Danio rerio: one gene and its partners. The protein of the gene in region 2 purifies or fractionates together with the protein of the main gene of each other region. This does not show direct contact. Links are inferred from orthologs where the notes say so. Each region holds a gene or a part of one and is shown on either strand. Other genes may lie near its edges. The genes, in order: kpna4, kif22 and kpna3.

The links.
Region 1: the proteins of kif22 (region 2) and kpna4 purify together in Homo sapiens (affinity purification with mass spectrometry; 3 studies listed by BioGRID and IntAct, counting the BioPlex papers as one, with this or other methods). This does not show direct contact. The link is inferred for Danio rerio from reciprocal best matches to the Homo sapiens genes KIF22 and KPNA4.
Region 3: the proteins of kif22 (region 2) and kpna3 purify together in Homo sapiens (affinity purification with mass spectrometry; 3 studies listed by BioGRID and IntAct, counting the BioPlex papers as one, with this or other methods). This does not show direct contact. The link is inferred for Danio rerio from reciprocal best matches to the Homo sapiens genes KIF22 and KPNA3.

The regions. Positions count from the first base shown.
Region 1 is NC_133190.1:1,641,280-1,644,933, reverse strand, and holds part of kpna4 (importin subunit alpha-3), read left to right. Parts: intron 1-848; coding exon 849-953; intron 954-2,632; coding exon 2,633-2,704; intron 2,705-3,435; coding exon 3,436-3,598; intron 3,599-3,654. UniProt on the Homo sapiens protein: Functions in nuclear protein import as an adapter protein for nuclear receptor KPNB1. Binds specifically and directly to substrates containing either a simple or bipartite NLS motif.
Region 2 is NC_133187.1:5,588,397-5,592,711, reverse strand, and holds the start of kif22 (kinesin-like protein KIF22), read right to left. Parts: upstream 2,844-4,315; 5' UTR 1,308-2,843; intron 100-1,307; 5' UTR 1-99. UniProt on the Homo sapiens protein: Kinesin family member that is involved in spindle formation and the movements of chromosomes during mitosis and meiosis. Binds to microtubules and to DNA. Plays a role in congression of laterally attached chromosomes in NDC80-depleted cells.
Region 3 is NC_133176.1:49,989,680-49,993,333, reverse strand, and holds part of kpna3 (importin subunit alpha-4), read left to right. Parts: intron 1-2,462; coding exon 2,463-2,552; intron 2,553-2,641; coding exon 2,642-2,671; intron 2,672-2,779; coding exon 2,780-2,832; intron 2,833-3,654. UniProt on the Homo sapiens protein: Functions in nuclear protein import as an adapter protein for nuclear receptor KPNB1. Binds specifically and directly to substrates containing either a simple or bipartite NLS motif.

The DNA of each region.
Region 1 (3,654 bases), on a different chromosome or scaffold from region 2:
ATGCTAATACATTGTGCCGGTCCCTCCAGGATTTTACAGGGGCTTTTTTAAACAACATTTATGTATATTTTGTAAGTAATGTTGTTGTTTTTTTCAAAGCTTAGTTTGCTTTAATTCTTGTGTTTTGCTGTGAAAATGCATGATCATAAATATCTTATAAACCACCCTACAAGCTAAATCCTGTAAGTATTGAATAAACCTAAATTTACATTAAAGTGTTGTAAACGAAACCCTGTGTAAGTTGCTCTATTGCGTGCAGTGTCACGCTTTTACCAGCTCTGACACTGTGTTGTAACAACACACGATACGATGCGTGCAAAAATGTATATTTTCCATATTACGGATTTTTTTTTTTTTAAAACAGCAGCGTGCAAAATTTATGTTAATATGCTGTTGTTAGTGCGACGTTGCAGAATTTAATAATATATATATATATTATTTAATTCTGCAACGTCGCACTAAAACAACAGCATAAACTTCAATGACTTAGATCACCTCAGCTACTGATTATGGGCATTTATTGCCATGCTGATAGTTAACTTCATGTCTTGAAAATTAAAATGACTTGCAGACGATTTGCAATGGGTCACGGTTCGGGCTTTGATTTTCAAACCAATAACATCAGTCACTCAGCAGCCTATTAATAATGTTAAATATTTATTAAGTAGACCTTAATAAATGACCAAAAGCCTTCAGCATTTCATTGGGAGTGCAGTGGCTGGTGTTTAAATGTTTCTGTCGTGTTGCGCTGCTTTTGCTGAGGTCAGAATATTTGCTTGTTGCTGCAGTCTTGTTGTTAGGACATGTGAGGCTGATGTGTAATGAATCTGGATGTTGTGCTCTTGCAGGAGGCTGTGTGGTTCCTGTCCAACATCACAGCAGGAAACCAGCAGCAGGTTCAGGCCGTCATTGATGCCAATCTGGTGCCCATGATCATTCTGCTGCTGGATAAGGTGAGTGATGACCCGAGCTCTCTTTAACAAGTTTACCACCCACACTTCAGCTTTAGTAGTACTAAACTAATAATATTAATAATAATTTCTTATATTTAAATATATAGCGCTTTTCTGGACACTCTAAGCGCTTTACATTTTGGGTGAACGATCCTTTTGTATACGTGTAAAGTTCGCTCATCATTTAGTGACCCTTGATTACAAAGTAGAAAAATCAAATATCACTGAGGTCGATGGTTGCAGGTTTCCAGCTTAAGCCTATTTTTTTTTAGCGTTCACAATATTGACAATACACACAGACGTGACTCAGACTAATGCAACAAGTAAAATCCTACATGACTTCATGCTTTAACAGGCAGTCAAGCAGGTCGCACACCAGAAGCGCCGCGACACGGTGCGCACATGACAGTTTAAACTATCACACACCAAACGCGCACATTGACATGATATTTAACATGAAACTAATCAGATGGCGCTCTGTGGGCTGGATGAAATATGAACTGCTTCGTAAATCGTGACTGGGTGGCGCCGGTGTGTGTATAGAAATCGGTTTAGAATTCTAAAATCCATGGCGCTGCGTGGTGCTGTGCATCGCCGAGAAGTGCTTCTGGTGTGCTTCCTGCTTCATAGAGTGAACCAAAGCGCATTGGTGCCATTATAATGTATTAAATATATATTTTTTTTAAGAATCGTGATTTCTCGATTTGATTCAAAATTAAATCGTCTTAAAACGTAAATTCGAATGAATAAAAAAAAAAAAGGGAAAAATCGCCCAGCCCTACCTTTACTTGATTCAAACGTCCAAGGTTTTCCTCAGTTGAACACAAAGTAGAAAAATCAAATATCACTGAGGTCGATGGTTGCAGGTTTCCAGCTTAAGCCTATTTTTTAGCGTTTAACAGAAAAATATTTGGAATCAATCAGTTATTAGTGAGGAAATGTAATTTTTGGGAGAGCGGTCTGTTTAACGTGGGTAGAGAATGTAATTGTTACTCCTAAAATAAAAACTTTAATATTTTTAGGACCCAGAGAAGCAAAAGTTAAGACTTTGAGGTGTTTCTGCTTCACTAAACCAGAGGTTCTCAAAGTGGGGGTCGGGAACCCCCGAGGGGTCGCGGGACAATGAAGGGGGGTCGCCTGGTGATTTCCAAAAATCAATTAATTTTTATTAAACCTTAAGACTTACTGTATTTCATCAATAACTTACTGAAGAGAAAAAAATAGTCGTTTATAGTTACTATAAACTATATAGTTACTATAGTAGCTTATATTTAATAGTTCTATTGGATTGTGACTTCTTGGGTAATTACATTATACTAAAGACACAGCAATACTGTCAGATGCAGCAGATTGATTTTATAACACCAGGTTAAACTTTCTAGCCCATTTACAGCACTGACATACATTAAAAAAACAAAGAATAGACTTGGGTCTATTAGTGTGTGTGTGCATCATTGCATACAAGGTTTCTGTATTTATAACCACCACCTCAGAGAATATTGGGGGTCACGAGTCACTGGCATTGTCCTTTTGGGGGTCGCGGGCTGAAACGTTTGGGAACCCCTGCACTAAACTATGAGAATTTTAACTGAGCTGAATTTTTGGCACATTTTAATGTTACCGTGAACATGGCACTGCTGTTGTTGAGTCTCTCCATGTAATGTTGTTGTCTCTCGCAGGGAGATTTTGGCACTCAGAAGGAAGCAGCGTGGGCCATCAGCAACCTGACCATCAGTGGCAGAAAGGATCAGGTGTGTGTTCAGGTGCACAAGCATGCGTCAGGGTTCTTGCACCTTTCCCAATGTTGAATATAAGCACTTTCTGGGTGCATTTTCAAACTCTTCCTACATGTCAACTTGCATATTTATAATTCATCCATACTTCATCACATTATTTTAGTTACTATTGTTTTATTTCAATTCTACTATGTTAGAATTAGTGCTTGGCAAAAATTAATTGAATCCAAAATAAGTTTTTCTTCACATAATATGTGTGGGTGGCACGGTGGGTCAGTGGTTAGTACTGTCGCCTCAAAGCAAGGTCGCTGGTTCAAGTCCTGGCTGAGCCGGTGTGCATTTCTGTGTGGAGTTTGCATGTTCTCCCCGTGTTGGCGTAGGTTTCCTCCGGGTGCTCCGGTTTCCCCCATAAACACATGTGGTATAGGGGAATTGAATGATCTAAATTGGCTGTAGGGTATGGGTGTTTCCCAGTACTGGGTTGCAGCTCGAAGGGCATTCGCTGTGTAAAACATTTGTCAGAATAGTTGGCGGTTCATTCTGCTGTGGTGACCCTTGATGAACAAAGGAACTCAAGTCAAAGGAAAATGAATGGATGAATAATATGTGTGTGCATATTTTATTACATTTCCAAGCACTTTATCCAAAATCAAAGCACTTTTCAAACTTGTTCCGTTCCAATTTGGGCATTTTCAAGGATTTCCAACAAGCTGAAGTGTTAAACACGGTGTGATCTTATCCTGTAGGTGGCGTACCTGATCCAGCAGCAGGTGATTCCTCCGTTCTGTAACCTGCTGACTGTGAAGGATGCTCAGGTAGTGCAGGTGGTTCTGGACGGCCTCAGTAACATTCTCAAGATGGCCGACGATGAAGCGGAGACTGTGGCCAACCTCATCGAGGAGTGTGGAGGTGAGCAGACGCTCGTGTTTGTGTGTGGAGTAGCAATCAGTGTTCGAGTATCTACT
Region 2 (4,315 bases):
ATGTTGTCCTAAAAATAAAACAAAACAAATGTAAATAAAAAAAAAATCTTACACATACTTTAGGAACAGTATTACCAGAAATTTTGGCAGTTTTAAAGGGCCATGAAACCCCCTCGTTTCAGCAGGGTGTTTTCACACCTCTACTTTGGAAAAAGTCAGAAAAGTGGGCGTGTCCAGCTCTGTTTAGGGGGGAGTGTCGGAGGAACTAAAGTGGGATGGTGTGGGAGTGTCTATTTGGGCACGCGCGAGTTTCAGTCAAAATACACACACATGACAAAAGTGATGGTGTTTAACCTACATGGACATCTGTAGTCGAATTATTTGCCAAATTATTAAATGGTGGACTTTAATTGCAGTTTGGCTCTTTCATTCAGGGAATTCATTCATGCCCCTCGCGACAAACGCGATATTTGATTCGAGGATCTGCTCTAAGCGTGTATTTTTCATGCAATGTTTGATACCGCACGGCGAATGAGAATAAAAAACTCAGCATTTCCCGGAAACTTAGATGCACACGGCAGGTAGCGTCAGAAAACCGCGTGTGTTATTCCAGTCACAAAATGCGGTGCTATGTTTGCACTCAGTGCAATAGTTAACTTAATTCGATACGAACAAACTGAATAAACAAAGAGCACTGGTCGCTCACTTACCAAATCTGTAGAGACAGGACAATCACCAGCAACTAGAGCCGCGTCATTATGAAGAGAAGACTAACGTTACAAGCGAATCCGGATTTCAGCGTTTGCAGATGAGAACAGCTCTCAGGTAAACAATAATCCTCCTTAGACACGTAAGTTATTGTTGTCGAGTGTCGCGTACACTGTAATCCACACGTGACTCCAGCTGAACTCTCACAGAGAGAAAATGAAAACGAAACTTAATGGCAGCAAACTATAAAAGCAACACTTCACGCTTGTTTTGCCAACACAACGTGGCGTCTCTGGGGCGTAAACACGGTGACACTAATGAATATTAATGAAGTTGCACAATAGAGCGCGCTGATTGGTTTGAACCAAGCCTTACTCATGCATTAATGCATCAGACTGTAAGACGTAATAAGACACACTCTGGAACAGACGTCCAGTCTGCACGGTGGAATACACGCTATTATGTCATGACCGTGACGCAGCTTCAAAAATTCGTTTCAAACAGGAAGTACGAATTTGCTTGAAATAACGCAAAAACAACCAATTTACACTTTTTAGTGAAATATAGGTGTCCTAATAGTGTTTTTAGCAGTGTGGGACACATATACGACTGTCAACAGCTCAAAAAATGTGTTTTGGTGTTTCGTGACCCTTTAAAAGCTTGACTTCTCCAAACCGCGGTATACCTTAAGACGGTTATCCCATGCCTAGTGAAGAGACGATGCAGATCATAGAGGACAACGCACACATAATTAACTTCATTAAACATGCACACATATACATCACCTGTATATGCTATAAAATTGCAGGCTAATGATCTCTGTATATAATAACTTAAATTTGATTGTAGCTTTAACTTTTTATTTAACTTTTAATTGAATTAATGCTATAATGTGCACCTTTCAAAAAGCTGCTTTGAAACAATAATTATTGTAAATATACTTAAATTGAACATACTAAGATGTGTGAATATGCATGTATATGAAGAGCTCTATGGCAAAAGCCTCAAAGTGCCATCAAAAATTATCTTCTAAAATATATTTTTTTAGCTTCCTTTGTGTTCATTAATATCACTTTTATGCAAAATAAAATAGTTCTTTTTAAGTGAGGTTACGGAATTAACACATTAGGGTGAGAAAAATGCTCACTTTAGAAGATAGAGGTAAAGTTGGTTTTATATCAGTCTTTAAAGACAGATTCAGACTTTTTCCTTTATAATATAATTTCAGATTAGTATTCTTTTGCAAGGGAAAATATGTTATATTATGATTTTCAAAGTACAACATTGTTGACAGTTTATTAGATAGTGCTAATGTTGTTTTAAAGACATACTTGCATGCTAAATTCTGGCCGAATATTCAAACTGGTCTGGTAAACAATAAAGAAAGAGTTAATAGAACAAATGTGCAAATATTAAACCAACTTTACATTAATCTTTAGACAAAAATTACAACCGCCACCTGGAGTTTTTTTTTGCATTTGAACTCTTCATATTTTCCGAGTATGTGTGTATTTATTATGTCAGTGTTTTTATCGATCACTGTTGGTAACTTATTTATAAAATTCTCTTTGCGATGAATAAAGTAACTTATCTGTCGAACTTATCTTCATGGAAGTTACCACGCTATTGTTACTTTGAATATTCGGTCTGAAACCGCATGCAAGTATAACTTTAAAACAACATTAGCACAATTTGATTGACTGTAGAATGTTGTAGTTTGATAGTCGTTGGCTGCTATTATGATTTGCCCATGTTTAATTTGCAGAGAATAACGTTACTTTAATGAAATGACATTATTACGGAGAAAAACCCGAATGTGCGAATATAAAACCAACTTTACCCCACTCGTTAAACATATGCTACAGATATACAAATGACATACTTTAAACATAACATCGATTAATAGTAATATTAATGCTTTAAACGGAAAACGCTGCCGCTTTCTGAATGTTTATCCGCTCTGAGCGCGCGGCCGCTGCTGAATTAAAGGCCTGATGGGCTTTCCCCTTTCAAAAATCGCTAAACAACAACCGCTTTTTGCGAAACATACAACAAGTTTACCTCTTCACTTGTGCAGCGGCTAATCCAGTTCTTGAACGATATATAATTCACACTCGGGTACAATGTGAGTGTGTTTTTTAAAAATTACTCAATTCAATGCATCACTACTTCCGTATAAACTCCTTGACAATGGCGCCTCTCGGGTCGGCACGGTTATTTTCAAAATATAAAGTCTCCGCCTATTTTGCTCATTTTAACCAATCAGCACTTCTGAATTTAGAAAACGGAGTTCTTCTCCAGAGATTTTTCAGAGGAAACATACAACACGTAAGTTACTGCCATCATTCGGTGATGCTGGGGAAAAACTCGTTCTTCGTCAATCCTCCATTTCTGATATCACATTCGATTTGTTTTACTTTTTACAAATATATTTGAATAATAAACAAGCAAATTCATTCAACGTCCCCGTCAGCGACATCATGTGATGTGTGCGATGAAATCTAAACACGTCGTATTTTCAATATGGCTTCAAAAACAGCAATCAGTAAAAAGTGAATAGTCAAATCACTTTCAAACACTTACACTTTATATCCTTATATTTAATTATATTCTATATATTACTTTACATATTATTGCTCTTTTGTTGATTTTCATTGAGCCTTTACTCTTTGGTCTAAACTACAGCAGAAACACTTTGTAAACAATCTGCTTTATCTATATAAGTTTTACACTCTCACTTTCCTGATATTTACTATAGTAATGTAGAAAAATATGTTTTGTATTAAAATGTTCTGGTCCTTCAACCCTATCTTTTTATCTATTTTCAGTTTTTATTTCTTTCTGTCTGTCCATAGATTAACATTAATCAATGTCATCTATTACCTGATTAACAACAAAAGCTAACAAAGTTTTTATCTGTTTTCCAATTTTCTTTATATAATTATAATAAAATCTATACTCACTGGCCATTTCATTAGGTATTTATCAAATTTCTCATCAGCCAATCACATGGCAGCAACACATGGCAGCAACACTGCCTTGTTGATACCAGAGGTCAGAGGAGAATGGCCAGACTGGTTCCAGCTAGAAAGATAACAGTAACTCAAATAAGCACTCGTTACAGCCGAGGTGTGCAGAGGAGCATCTCTAAACACACAACACGTCCAACCTTGAGGCAGATGGGCTACAGCAGCAGAAGACCACACCAGGTGCCACTCCTGTCAGCTAAGAACAGAAAACTGAGGCTACAATTCACACAGGCTCACCAAAACTGGACAATAGAAGATTGGAAAGACGTTACCTGGTCTCGATTTCTGCTGCGACATTCAGATGGTCGGGTCAGAGTTTGGCATCAACAACATAAAGCATGGATCCATCCTGCCTTGTATCAGTGATTCAGGCTGGTGATGGTGTAATGGTGTGGGGAATATTTTCTTGGCACACTTTGGGCCCATTAGTATAAATTGAGCATCGTGTCAACACCACAGCCTGCCTGAGAATTGTTGCTGACCATATTCATCCCTTTTGTGACCACAGTGTACCCATCTTCTGATGGCTACTCAAGCAGAATAACGCAACATGTCATAAAGCGCAAATCAGCTCAGACTGGTTTCTTGAACATGACAATGAGGTCACTGTACTCAAATGGCCTCCACAGTCAGCAGAT
Region 3 (3,654 bases), on a different chromosome or scaffold from region 2:
ATTGTGGAGGACATTTTCCATGTCATCCTCTTCATTTTGAGGAAAGCTGTTCCACAGGGCCCCTGAACACGTATATTGGCATGTACTGTGTTTTGAACAGTAGCCTACTACAGTAAAGAACTTCAATTGATCAGTTGTGGTAATACTATAGTTGCTATGGTAACACAAGTGTAATATAAACAAATTACCCAGTGCTGTATTATTTTACAATATAGGGTATTTTATACTACAAATCACTACACTTTACTGTAGTAAAACTACACTTTGTATTTTATCTGTTCACTATTGTTAATACTACTATAATAAGTATAATACAAGTATACAACAAGTATAATACTCAAAAACACTAGAATTTATCTATAAACAGAATTTATCTTTAAACAGGTGAGATATCTGAGAAAGCCAGACAAAAGAGGACTGCAGTATACATTACAGGGGTATATTCACAACATAATAGCAACTGATTAGAAAATAATTTTATCAAAATTGAAGCAAGGTTAGCCTAGCAACCTCATACGCTGAACATTCAACAGCATAGTTCATGCACAGCAGGAGAGGTGAAATTATAAAATAATCTAATAACCTAAGAAACTGATGGATTTGTGCCGAATATTAGCATCATTGACCCATAAAAGTGTACAGTACCTATTACTGTCAGCATGTTTGTGTGCTCTTTATCCAGTTTTTATTCAAATTTGCAGTTAAGTGGAAGAAAAAAAAATTGAAATGCAAATCAAAGTATAAATAACAGAAGTGAACAAATAGATATTTCCTACCAGCAAATATTAGTGTATGTATTTATATGCGTTACAATGGCGAGGGTTTAAACTAAGCAGTGCTCATAATATCGAGTGGAAAAAAAGAAAAAGACAGCTGGTAAACATAACCTGCTTTTTTTTATATAAGAACACAGTTTAGATCTGTTTAGGATAAGAGGAGTGTGAGTTATTGCCACCTATCACTGAATGTGAATATCGAAAACAAAATCAACTTAGCTGTTAACTCCTTTACCGCCCCTCACACAGCTTGATCCACGCTGGCATTTCTCCTCTTGGGCTTTAGGTTTTGAAAAGGGAAATATCCCACCACCCAGTCCAAACTTTTAGGATAGCGGGTGTCAGATTTGCACAATCCAATAATTGCGCAACGATTTGGCTTGTTTCCCTCGCTCGAAAGCTTGACAGATTCCCTGTCCGTAGCCACGATTGGTAAGCCGCGATTGGTGGGTGGCAGTTTTTGGGCGTGGCTTAGCGAAGGGTCAGTTTAAAAGGAGGATCCCGTTATAGCAAAAGCACTAAAGGTATGAGACGCCATCGTAAACAAAAGTCAAGTGAACGCAAAGAGACTGAATGCACGAGCGAGCGAGCGAGAGAGAGAGAGAGAGGTGTATGTTGTATGTGAGAGAGAGAGAGACAGAGTATTGGCACGCGAGTATTGGCTAGATCTCAAATTCAAATTCTCTCTGCGTTCGCTTGACTTTTGTCCACTCCGGCGCCTCATAGTAGTCACGTTGGATACTGACGAATCAAAACAATCTACCGTGCTTTGATTGGATGTCATGCCGAAAGCGCGCATGCTGTCACACACACACACGCGCACGCATGCTGTCACACACACACACGCACACATAAACGGGGAGAGAGAGAGAGCGGTCCATGTCAACATACTTTTTTTTTATCTTTGGGCTTTTCATGGGAAGCAGCAAGTCTTTACAAGTCAATAGGGGCAAGTCCTAGTCAAAGTCCGAGTCATTTATGTTCAAGTCCAAGTCGAGTTGCAAGTCTTTTTATATTTTGTCAAGTCGAGTCTAAAGTCATCAAATTCATGACTCGAGTCTAAGTCACATGACTCGAGTCCACACCTCTGCTGAGCACTGTACATGCACATCAGCAACAGTACTATGTACAGAAGTGATCTTTCCAATTTTAAACAAAAACGTTCAGTACTATGGGATGTTGAATAATTGGTCCATTTTTTTCCCCAGAAGGAAATGAATTGTTCAGTTTTCTCATTTACAAATGCGGCAATTTGCTCAATTTGATAAATTTCCAGTGTAATTTCCATCCATGCACTTAGAGTAGCACTTTCCTGTGACAACCATTTTTTGGTTATGCTCTTGTTAACAGCCACTAACAGAATGTTCGATAAATATCTATCTCTTTTTAACCATTCCTCGGGTATATATCCAAACAAAAATACTTACAATCAAAGGTTATCACAGATTTAAAAAATTTTTGTAAGGCATCGTGTATTTCTTTCCAATATTTTGTTATATATACCGTTATTAAATATACATTTTAATGCATCAAGTGGAGTTTTCGCTAATTTGCTCAAGTGTATTCTCAGGATGAAAAATCACAGATTAGTTTGTATTTGTTTAGGTGCGTTCGGTCAAATGAAGATGCATTTAAATAAGATTAATTGTAAAGAAGCTGATGGTTTTTATTTCTCAATCTGTATAGAACAAAAGAGACGAGCATCTCCTGAAGAAAAGAAATGTTCCACAAGAAGAGAGTCTGGAGGACTCTGACGTGGACTCTGACTTTAAAGGGGTAAGAGGTTTTTTTTCTGATTTCTGCTCACTTCATACCTTTCATTTAAAGATTATTATTTTTCTAAACTTTTTGCTCTTTATTTTCAGCAAAATGTAACGCTAGATGCCATCTTACAGGTAAGATTCTAGCACGTGTTGATGTTATTGTTGGTGAGAGAGGCTTTAGCAGAAGGCTCACTTCTCTTCTTCCACTCATTCTCCATTTGTCTTGTTTTTTCTCTACAGAACGCCACCAGTGACAATGCAGTGGTGCAGCTCAGTGCAGTGCAAGCAGCCAGGTAAAGTTTTGCGATATGGATATGAAAGATTTGCATTTTTTACACATTAATACTTTCTAAAAATATCTCGCTTAGCCTCGGGTCAACATACCTTCATAATAGTTGCTCTTTGCTTTTTTTTAAGGTATAGTTTACCCAAAATTAAATGTTTCAGTTCATTTACTATAGCTTAGTTCAGGGGTTTTCAAACTTTTCAGCACGCGACCCCTAAAATAACAATGCCAGTGACTCGCGACCCCCAATATCCTCTGAGGTGGTTATAAATACAGAAAACTTGCATGCAATGGCGCACAAACACACACACACCAATAGACCAAAGTCTATTCTTCGTTTAATTTTTTTTTATGTACGTCAGTGCTGTAAATGGGCCAGAAAGTTTAACCTGGTGTTATAAAATCAATCTGCTGGATCTGACGCTTTTGCTGTCTTTAATATAATGTATTTACCCCAGGGGTCGCAATTCAATAGAACAAGTAAATAAGCTACTATAGTAACTATAAACGACTGTTTTTTTCTCTTCAGTTGGTTATGAATAAAATATGGTAATTCTTATGGCCTAATAATAAGTAGATTTTTGGAAATCACCAGGCGACCCACCTTCATTGTTCCGCGACCCCTCAAGGGGTCCCGACCCCCACTTTGAGAACCACTGGCTTAGTTCACACTACATGATTTTGAGCCCGATTTGGAAGTTAAGTTAGGGAAAAAATCTGGGGGTGCTTGGCAGTATTTATGTGTGAACTACTGAACAACACATCAAAGAGGCTTGCTGACACATCGCCAACACCTCGCAGATGGAAATCCAATATCTAGCATGCTTTA